Macaca mulatta: one gene and its partners. The protein of the gene in region 2 interacts with the protein of the main gene of each other region in a pairwise test. Links are inferred from orthologs where the notes say so. Each region holds a gene or a part of one and is shown on either strand. Other genes may lie near its edges.

What was found.
Region 1: the proteins of melanoma-associated antigen 1 (region 2) and SELPLG interact in a two-hybrid assay, tested with the Homo sapiens proteins (2 studies listed by BioGRID). The two-hybrid records come from large-scale screens. The link is inferred for Macaca mulatta from reciprocal best matches to the Homo sapiens genes MAGEA1 and SELPLG.
Region 3: the proteins of melanoma-associated antigen 1 (region 2) and MIEF1 interact in binary tests that used the Homo sapiens proteins (3 or more experiments, as listed by UniProt). The two-hybrid records come from large-scale screens. The link is inferred for Macaca mulatta from reciprocal best matches to the Homo sapiens genes MAGEA1 and MIEF1.

The regions. Positions count from the first base shown.
Region 1 is NC_133416.1:115,765,509-115,769,255, forward strand, and holds the start of SELPLG (P-selectin glycoprotein ligand 1), read right to left. Parts: upstream 2,633-3,747; 5' UTR 2,450-2,632; coding exon 2,407-2,449; intron 1-2,406. UniProt on the Homo sapiens protein: A SLe(x)-type proteoglycan, which through high affinity, calcium-dependent interactions with E-, P- and L-selectins, mediates rapid rolling of leukocytes over vascular surfaces during the initial steps in inflammation.
Region 2 is NC_133426.1:159,459,634-159,463,114, reverse strand, and holds melanoma-associated antigen 1, read left to right. Parts: upstream 1-1,154; 5' UTR 1,155-1,208; coding exon 1,209-2,159; 3' UTR 2,160-2,872; downstream 2,873-3,481.
Region 3 is NC_133415.1:12,033,030-12,036,676, forward strand, and holds part of MIEF1 (mitochondrial dynamics protein MIEF1), read right to left. Parts: exon of another isoform or gene 3,593-3,647; intron 574-3,592; 5' UTR 567-573; coding exon 423-566; exon of another isoform or gene 384-422; intron 204-383; exon of another isoform or gene 46-203; intron 1-45. UniProt on the Homo sapiens protein: Mitochondrial outer membrane protein which regulates mitochondrial fission/fusion dynamics.

The DNA of each region.
Region 1 (3,747 bases), on a different chromosome or scaffold from region 2:
AACCTTGTACTCCTAGCACTTTGGAAGGCCAAGGTAGGAGGATGACTTGAAGCCAGGGGTTCAAGACCAGCCTGGGCAACATAGTGAGACCCCGTCTCTACAAAAAAATTAAACATTAGTCAGGTATGCTGGTGCATGCCTGTCATCCCAGCTACTCAGGAGGCTGAGGGCAGAGGATGGCTTGAGCCCAGGTCAAGGCTGCAGTGAGCTATGATCACACCACTGCACTCCAGCCTGGGTGACAGAGTAAGACCCTGTCTCTAAGAAAAAAAAAAAAGACATATTTTTTTTAATGAAATAAAAGAAAACCTGAGGCTCCGAGAGATCTTGTCTCAGCTGAGGCCACGCAGGTAGAACGGGGAGGAGCAGAGTTTGCTTACTGTGTGTGGCAGGCAGCATAACGCCTCCTTCACATTTGCTAGAGTAAATGTATTAAACAACAACAAAAATGGCATATGCAGAAGCCCCTCCCGTGGAGGGATGACTTCCTCGTCTCACTGGCTGCTGACCTCGGTCCTCCTCAGCCTGTGTCCGCTGGCTCTAACGGTGCCATCACACCGATCAGCAAGCAAGGCCCAGAGCGGCGGGGTCGCTCCCAGGCCCCACCTTCCACCTCTCCTCTCGCCGGAAGGCAAAAAAAACAGTCCCACAGTAGAGGGCCAGGGCAGGGCCCCGACAGAGGGGTCTCCAGTGGCCACATCCTACTTGTCTCAACACCTGCCTAACGGAGTAGGTCAGAGACTGCTCGTTTTGCCTCTTTGGCCCTAAAACCAGGCTGCTTCTGGCCCAGGCGCCATCTAGACCCCATGTGGGCCGCATCTAGGCTGTGTGGAGGAGCGGGCTGCAGGGAGCCCAGACTCCAGCTCCAGAGACCCCGCCGTGTGGCCGTCCTGAGCGACTCAGGAAAGATCCTCGGGGGGCTCCACGTTGCTGGGAACCTTGCACTGAGAATCCTGAAACTGGGAATCAGAGCAGGCAGGATCTTGGAATGTTAAAATTCAAAAGACTGAGCATCTCAGGGTTTGGGTCAAGTAGTCACCAAGAGAAGGAAAGCCCCCAGATAACTGAAGCACAGGCAGCAGATCTGAGTCTGGGTAGACAGGACACACCTCGCCCTGCCCTGACCTGGAGTCACATCAAACCAGGTCAATCCCAGCTCTGTCCCTTAGAAGCTGTGTGACCTTGGGCAACTCACCTCACCTCTCTGAGTTGTGGGTTCCTTAGCTGGAATACAAGGACAACGGTAGCCCCCGCTTTTTATGGAGTTGTTGTGGGTTGAAGAGGGCCAGGGAAATGCCAAGTCCTCCCAGAAGCCTTTCCAGATTGCCCCAGGCATGATTAGTCACCTCCCGTGTTTACATCATTTCTGCTGTTCATTTACTTTCTAAAAATGTATTCACATTGACTCCTAAACTTCCAGAATACAAGAACTACAGCTGTCTTGCTGATCAGGCCACAGGCCCAGGATTTAGCCGACAGGCAGGCACACACCTCTCGAAATGCTTGTCCCGGTGGCTGGCAGCCACAGTGGCTGTCTGCTCTGCTGCCCCCACCAGACCAGAAGTTTTCGGAGGGCAGGAGCTCTCCTGGCATCCCCAGGGGCCTCACTAAATGCCTCTGCAGAAGAGGACATGTGACTGAGGCAGGGGGACGTGCATAGCACTGCACAGCACGTGCTGTCTTCAGACTTTTCACACCACGTTAGACAGCTGACACCTTCCAACCTCTTTCCATCATCTACTCCAACTCACATCAGGGAGCCACTGTAGACGTGGTTTCCCTAATTATCATCCCCCTCACGACATGTTTATTTATTTATTTACTTTTAGAGATAGGGTCTGGCTCAGTCGCCCAGGCTGGAGTACAGTGGTGCAATCACAGCTCACTGCAGCCTTGAACTCCTGGACTCAAGCGATCCTCCAAGTAGCTAGGACTACAGGTGCGTGCCACCAGACCCAGCTACTTTTAAATTTTTTGTAGAGATGGGTTTTCACCGTGTTGCCCAGGTTGGTGTCAAACTCCTGGGCTCAAGAAATCCACCTGCTTCAGCCTCCCAAAGTGCTAGGATTTACAGGCCTGAGCCACCGTCACCAGCCCTCCTCACAAAACGTTAATAGCACAGATATGCTGTATATCTGTTTAACGTTTGGTGGCTTACAAACCACAGTGTTAGTAGAGATTTTTTTGTTACACCCCACTCCCCCCACCTCCAGCCCGCCAAGAACCAAGTTACACCTGTTGGAACCCAAATTTGCTAGCCTGACACAGAGGCAGTAAGGTACTTGGCACAAATGAATTCAATGAGACCTACATGTGGTTAGTTGAACAACTGTCTTTAAACAGTTTTCTAAAGACCCCTGTGCAGACAGACAGATTAACAAACACAGACCCCCAACACACACACACCGGCCATCTTATCTCCTTCTAGACCACTGGCCCCCACTGCCATCTTCCTGTTCAAGTTCAGCAAAGGAGATCGAGACACAGGCCTAGGGTCACCACGAACTCCACGAGCATCCTGCAGCCAGAAGCCACGCCGCCAGAGGCAGCTACTTCTCCCCTGCGAGCCTCAGTTTTCTCATCTGGAAAAGGGGCACCATCCACCCTCCAAGGTTCTCAGATGATTGATTCTGCAGCTCCTCCGAATGCCCCGCTCTGGGCCCAGCCCGGTAGCCCAGCCCTTCCGCTGAGGTTTAACTCCCCTGGCTGCTGGCCAAGCCTCTTGAGGGAGGCATCAACCGCCCAGGGTGCCGCCTCCCTAGGCAACCCCAGAGGAAGAGACTCTGGGGCCGTCCGAGGGCCTTGGAGCCACCTTCTGAAGCTCCGGCCCACTGAAGGGCCTGGCTCTGGGGGCCTCAAAGTCAGAGGTGGAAAAAAAAGGAAAACAGAAGAAAGAGGAAAGAGGAAGAGAATTCCAGGCAACAGAAGCCCAGATACAGACACTATGGTGTGTGTGTGAATGTGTATACAGCAGGGCGCAACCAGCCCCCACCTTTTCCTTTTAGTGTTCTGAAAGTATCTCAAATACAAACTAATAAGAGTATTCTAATTTTTTTTCTTTTTTTTTGAGACGGGGTCTCACTCTGCCACCCAGGTTGGAGTGCAGTGGCACAATCTTGGCTCACTGCAACCTCCCCCTCCCAGGTTCAAGTGATCCTCCCACTTCAGCCTCCCAAGTAGCTGAGACCACAGGCATACACCACTATGCCTAGCTAAGGTTTTGTATTTTTGGTAGAGACGAGGTTTCACCATGTTGCCCAGCTTGGTCTCGAACTCCTGAGCTCAGGCGATCCACCTGCCTCGGTCTCCCAAAGTGCTGGGATTACAGGTGTGAGCCACTGCACCCAGCCAAGTATTCTAAGTATTATTATTGTTTTCCCTTTTGCTAACAATAGTATCCTAATTCTAATATTTTAATAGTTTGCCACAGACAAGTGTCATTTTCTCAGTCTTATAAAAAGTGGGAAGAATGCATCTTTCTCTGAAAATCACTTTTTTTTTTTTTTTTTTGAGACGGAGTCTTGCTCTGTTGCCCAGGCTGGAGTGCAGTGGCCGGATCTCAGCTCACTGCAAACTCCGCCTCCCGGGTTCACGCCATTCTCCTGCCTCAGCCTCCCGAGTAGCTGGGACTACAGGCGCCCGCCACCTCGCCCGGCTAGTTTTTTTGTATTTTTTAGTAGAGACGGGGTTTCACTGTGTTAGCCAGGATGGTCTCGATCTCCTGACCTCGTGATCCGCCCGTCTCGG
Region 2 (3,481 bases):
CCCAGAACCAAAGGGGTCAGCCCTGGACACTTCACCCAGGGTGTGGCATCTTCTTACTCCTGTTTCCAGATCTCAGAGAGGTGAGGACCTTGTTCTCAGAGGGTGACTCGGGTCAACATAGGGACCCCCATCTGGTCTAAAGACAGAGCAGTCCTACGATCTGCCATGCATTTGGGTGAGGAACATGAGGGAGGATTGAGGATACCCCAGGGCCAGAACACTGACAGAGACCGCACAGAAATCAGCTCTGCCCCTGCTGTCACCCCAGAGAGCATGGGCTGGGTCATCTGCCAAGGTCCCTCTCTTATCTTGGGATCATTGATGTCAGGGAGGGGGAGGCCTTGATCTGAGAAGGCTTCACTCACGTCAGTAGAGGGAGAGTCCCAGGCCCTGCCAGGAGTCAAGGTGAGGACCAAACAGGCGCCTCACCCAGGACACATTAATTCCAATGAATTTTGATATCTCTTGCTGTCCTTCCCCGAGGACCTAGGCCCGAGTGGCCAGATGTGGGTCCCCTCCTGTCTTTCTGTTCCTTATCATGGATGTGAGCTCTTTATTTGGATTTCTCAGACCAGCAAAAGGGTGGGATCCAGGTCCTGCCAGGAAAAATGCAAGGGCCCTGCGTGAGAACAGAGGGGATCATCCACCGCATGAGAGTGGGGATGTCACAGAGTCCAGCCCACCCTCCTAATAGCACTGAGGGCCCAGGGCTGTGCTTGCAGTCTGCACCCTGAGGGCCCGTGGATTCCTCTTCCAGGAGCTCCAAGAACCAGGCAGTGAGGCCTTGGTTTGAGACAGTGTCCTCAGATCACAGAGCAGAGGACGCACAGGCTGTGCCAGCAGTCAACGTTTGCCCTGAATGCACACCAAGGGCCCCGCCTGCCGCAGGACACATGGAACTCCACAGAGTCTGGCCTCACCTCCCTACCGTCAGTCCTGTAGAATCGACCTCTGCTGGCCGGCTGTACCCTGAGTGCCCTCTCACTTCCTCCTTCAGGTTTTCAGGGGACAGGCCAACCTGGAGGACAGGATTCCCTGGAGGCCACAGAGGAGCACCAAGGAGAAGATCTGTAAGTAGGCCTTTGTTAGAGTCTCCAAGGTTCAGTTCTCAGCTGAGGCCTCTCACACACTCCCTCTCTCTCCAGGCCCGTGGGTCTTCATTGCCCAGCTCCTGTACACTCCTGCCTGCTGCCCTGACCAGAGTCATCATGTCTCTTGAGCAGAGGAGTCTGCACTACAAGCCTGAGGAAGCCCTTGAGGCCCAACAAGAGGCCCTGGGGCTGGTGTGTGTGCAGGCTGCCGCCGCCTCCTCCTCTCCTCTGGTCCTGGGCACCCTGGAGGAGGTGCCTACTGCTGGGTCAACAGATCCCCCCCAGACTCCTCAGGGAGCCTCCGCCTTTCCCACTACCATCAACTTCCCTCGCTGGAGGCAACCCAATGAGAGTTCCAGCAGCCATGAAGAAGAGGGGCCAAGCACCTCGCGTGTCCTGGAGTCCTTGTTCCGAGCAGTACTCACTAAGAAGGTGGCTGATTTGGTTCGTTTTCTGCTCCTCAAGTATCGAGCCAGGGAGCCGGTCACAAAGGCAGAAATGCTGGAGAGAGTCATCAAAAATTACAAGCACTGCTTTCCTGTGATCTTCGGCAAAGCCTCTGAGTCCTTGCAACTGGTCTTTGGCATTGACGTGAAGGAAGCAGACTCCACCGGCCACTCCTATGTCCTTGTCACCTGCCTGGGGCTCTCCTATGACGGCCTGCTGGGTGATAATCAGATCATGCCCAAGACAGGCTTCCTGATAATCATCCTGGTTATGATTGCAATGGAGGGCGGCCGTGCTCCTGAGGAGGAAATCTGGGAAGAGCTGAATGTGATGGAGGTATATGATGGGAGGGAGCACAGTGCCTATGGGGAGCCCAGGAAGCTGCTCACCCAAGATTTGGTGCAGGAAAAGTACCTGGAGTACCGGCAGGTGCCCTACAGTGATCCTGCACGCTATGAGTTCCTGTGGGGTCCAAGGGCCCTCACTGAAACCAGCTATGTGAAAGTCCTTGAGTATGTGATCAAGGTCAGTGCAAGAGTTCGCTTTTTCTTCCCATCCCTGCGTGAAGCAGCTTTGAGACAGGAGGGAGCAGCTTTGAGAGAGGATGAAGAGGGAGTCTGAGCATGAGTTGCAGCCAAGGCCAGTGGGAGGGGGGCTGGGCTAGTGCACCTTCAAGGACCGTGTCCAGCAGCTTTCCCTGCCTCGTGTGATGTGAGGCCCATTCTTCACTCTGTTTGAAGAGAGCAGTCAGCATTCTCAGTAGTAGGTTTCTGTTCTATTGGATGACTTGGAGATTTATCTTTGTTCTCTTTTGGAATTGTTCAAGTGTTCCTTTTAAGGAATGGTTGAATGAACTTCAGCATCCAAGTTTATGAATGACAGTAGTCACACATAGTGCCGTGTATATAGTTGAGTAGTAAGAGTCTTGTGTTTCATTCAGATTGGGAAATCCATTCTATTTTGTGAATTGGGATAATAACAGCAGTGGAATAAGTATTTACTTAGAAATGTGAAAAATGAGCAGTAAAATAGATGAGATAAAGAACTAAAGAAATTAAGAGATAGTCAATTCTTTTTTTTTTTTTTTTTTTTTTTTTTTTTTTTTGAGACGGAGTCTCGCTCTGTCGCCCAGGCTGGAGTGCAGTGGCGCGATCTCGGCTCACTGCAAGCTCCGCCTCCCGGGTTCACGCCATTCTCCTGCCTCAGCCTCCTGAGTAGCTGGGACTACAGGCGCCCACAACCGCGCCCGGCTAATTTTTTGTATTTTTAGTAGAGACGGGGTTTCACCGTGGTCTCGATCTCCTGACCTTGTGATCCGCCCGCCTCGGCCCCCCAAAGTGCTGGGATTGCAGGCGTGAGCCACCGCGCCCGGCCGAGATAGTCAATTCTTGCCTTATACCTCAGTCTATTCTGTAACATTTTAAAAGATATATGCATACCTGGATTTCCTTGGCTGCTTTGAGAATGTAGGAGAAATTAAATCTGAATAAAGAATTCTTCCTGTTCACTGGCTCCTTTCTTCTCCATGCACTGAGCAGCTGCTTTTTGGAAGGCCCTGAGTTAGTAGTGGAGATGCTAAGGTAAGCCAGACTCATGCCTACCCATAGGGTTGTAGAGTCTAAGAGCTGCAGTCACGCAATCAAGGTGGCAAGATGTCCTCTGAAGATGTAGAGGAAAAGTAAGAGAGAGTGAGGGTGTGGGGCTCCAGGTGAGAGTGGTAGAGTGTAAATGTCCTGAGCTGGGGCATTTTGGGCTTTGGGAAACTGCAGTTCCTTCTGCGGGAGCTGATTGTAAGGATCCTGGGTGGATCCAGGGCCAGATTCTCAGACGGTGAGAGAAAAGCCTGAGTTGGAAAGCTGCTCTGAGGAGTTTCTTTTGGACGGTGGATAAACAGAGAGGAGTCTCCACCTAGGCAGGATTGGAAAGTGTTCTGCGCTTTTTTT
Region 3 (3,647 bases), on a different chromosome or scaffold from region 2:
AACATCATTGCGATCATTCCCTCCTATTACTAGAATGCTTCGACATTTTCTTTTTTTTTTTTGAGGCGGAGTCTTGCTCTGTCGCCCAGGCTGGAGTGCAGTGGCGCGATCTCGGCTCACTGCAAGCTCCGCCTCCCGGGTTCCCGCCATTCTGCCTCAGCCTCCCGAGTAGCTGGGACTACAGGCGCCGCCACCACGCCCGGCTAATTTTTTTGTATTTTTAGTGGAGACGGGGTTTCATTGTGTTAGCCAGGATGGTCTCGATCTCCTGACCTCGTGATCCGCCCATCTCGGCCTCCCAAAGTGCTGGGATTACAGGCTTGAGCCACCGCGCCCGGCCTCGACATTTTCTTTCTATAAGATATTACATGTTATGACCATACCACTACATCCCACCCCTAACCCTGGCTGCATGCACTTACCCGCTTAACTGCCAGCGTGGCGATGCCCAGCATGGCTGCTCCACCCACCCCCAGCACCAGCCGGGCATTGGAGAGCACAAAGTCAATGGCCGTGCCAATGCCATTGTCATCCTTCTTGCCTTTGCGCTCACCAGCGCCTGCCATTGCTCATCTGAGAATGAAGATAGAACACGGCCGTTAAGTACTGGGACCCCAAGAACCTCCCTCCCTCAACAACCCAAACCCCAACAAGTACAGGGTACTCTGTGAGTTCCAGCAACCCAAATCCTCTTGCCTCCAGCACTGTATGCTTTAGGGTCTAGAAGGAGCTACAGTGTCCCATGATAGATCAGGATGCAAGGAGAAGAGACGGATCCTGGGTACTGTAGGAAAACCTTCCCCAAGCTAGTGAGATTAAGAAAACATTAAGCTCAGTGTCAATCCTTTTTCATATTACAATGAAGTACCCCACATGCAAAACAACCCTCTCTCTACCCCTTCCCAATGTGATAACGCAGGTCTCTCTACCCCTTCCCAATGTGATAACGCAGGTCTCTCTACCCCTTCACAGGGGTGATAACGCAGGTCTCTCTACCCCTTCCCAATGTGATAACGCAGGTCTCTCTACCCCTTCCCAATGTGATAACGCGGGTCTCTCTACCCCTTCCCAATGTGATACCGCGGGTCTCTCTACCCCTTCCCAATGTGATAACGCGGGTCTCTCTACCCCTTCCCAATGTGATAACGCGGGTCTCTCTACCCCTTCACAGGGGTGATAACGCGGGTCTCTCTACCCCTTCCCAATGTGATAACGCAGGTCTCTCTACCCCTTCCCAATGTGATAACGCAGGTCTCTCTACCCCTTCCCAATGTGATAACGCGGGTCTCTCTACCCCTTCCCAATGTGGTAACACGGGTCTCTCTACCCCTTCCCAATGTGATAACGCGGGTCTCTCTACCCCTTCACAGGGGTGATAACGCAGGTCTCTCTACCCCTTCCCAATGTGATAACGCAGGTCTCTCTACCTCTTCCCAATGTGATAACGCAGGTCTCTCTACCCCTTCCCAATGTGATAACGCAGGTCTCTCTACCCCTTCCCAATGTGATAACGCAAGTCTCTCTACCCCTTCCCAATGTGATAACACGGGTCTCTCTACCCCTTCCCAATGTGATAACGCGGGTCTCTCTACCCCTTCACAGGGGTGATAACGCAGGTCTCTCTACCCCTTCCCAATGTGATAATGCAGGTCTCTCTACCCCTTCCCAATGTGATAACGCAGGTCTCTCTACCCCTTCCCAATGTGATAACGCAGGTCTCTCTACCCCTTCCCAATGTGATAACGCGGGTCCCCATCTCTTAAAAATAAAAACAAAAAACAAAATGGGCCGGGCACGGTGGCTCACACCTGTAATCCCAGCACTTTGGGAGGCCGAAGTGAGCGGATCACCTGAGGTCAGCAGTTCAAGACAAGCCTAGTCAACATGGAGAAACCCCGTCACTACTAAAAATACAAAATTAGCCGGATGTGATGGCGCACTCCTGTAATCACAGCTTCTCAGGAGGCCGAGGCAGAAGAATCCCTTGAACCTGGAAGGCCTTTGCAGTGAGCCAAGATCACACTATTGCACTCTAGCCTGGGCAACAAGAGCGAAACTCCACCTCAAAAACAAAAACGAAATGACACAATGATCTCCAGAACTCAGGACTCCCCACTCCTTGTATGATGCTTTTTCTACTGTACCATGCTCACCCTTACCCAAATCAAATCGGCCCTTATTCTATCTACTTTCTGCAAACCAAACACAAAACAACATGTACCAAACACCCTGCACATGTAACTGGAACTACACATCCATATGTGAGAAAGGTCCCTCCATGGACCCTCCTACTTGACAAATGCTTTGTTTCTTGAGAAAAGTGGGCAGCAGGGACTATAAAAGCTTAGGTGAGGCCGGGCGCGGTGGCTCAAGCCTGTAATCCCAGCACTTTGGGAGGCCGAGACGGGCGGATCACGAGGTCAGGAGATCGAGACCATCCTGGCTAACACGGTGAAACCCCGTCTCTACTAAAAAAATACAAAAAACTAGCCGGGCGAGGTGGCGGGCGCCTGTAGTCCCAGCTACTCGGGAGGCTGAGGCAGGAGAATGGCGTAAACCCGGGAGGCGGAGCTTGCAGTGAGCTGAGATCCGGCCACTGCACTCCAGCCTGGGCGACAGAACGAGACTCTGTCTCAAAAAAAAAAAAAAAAAAGCTTAGGTGAGACTGGTATCCTGGGAGATAAAAACACAAAGGACACTGCAGACTTGACTGCTAACTGGAAAACAAAACACCCATCTGCTCGATTACACTTAGAAGAGGAACTAAAAATGTGGTCACCTGAAAGGAGTACTTGGGCACCACAGCGAAGAGGCTGGCCTCCAGCGCAGTGCTCAGGCCAGTGCTGCTCCCGGCTGGAGGGGAGTCTTCCTGACTGCAGCAGCAGCAGTCCCCAGATAAGCCCATTCCCGTGGAGTTAGAACCCTGGGCCTGAGCCGGGGCAAGGATGACAGCGTGGTTCAGATTGGAATACCTGCCACTCTCCTCTATAATATCCCGTATCCTTCACACCAGGAATGACATAAGGGAAACCAAAGTCGGATACCATTTAGTGTCCCAGAATGGGAGGACATCAAGAGACAGGATCCGCTGGGCGCGGTGGCTCACACCTGTAATCCCAGCACTTTGAGAGGCCAAGGCGGGTGGATCACAAGGTCAGAAGTTCGAGACCAGCCTGGCCAACATAGTGAAACCCCGTCTCTACTAAAAATACAAAAAATTAGCCAGGCATGGTGGCCGAGGCAGGAGAATTGCCATTGCACTCCAGTCTGGGCGACAGAGCAGGACTTTGTCTCGAGGAAAAAAAAAAGGATCACTAGGGATTATCTTCCATGTAAAATAACATTCCTTCTAATACCATGTTACAACTGGGTATTGCCAGCTTCCGCATATTATGCTCCTGCCTCTACCTCCCTGAAAAACAAAGAAATATTTCTGACTCTATTATTCCAGCAATTGAGTTAACTAAGAGTCACTGTCAAGCCCAAAAATATTTTTTCCCTAACTAGAGTTCACACCTTGGGGGTACTTTCCTTTTCTCTACCATTTACAGTCAACAGAAGCTTCAGGTTTAGGGACATGAGAGACTATCTGGCCAAACCAAGTACATTCTTACCTCAAATGTACAGAGCAAGGCCAGGGAGAAGAG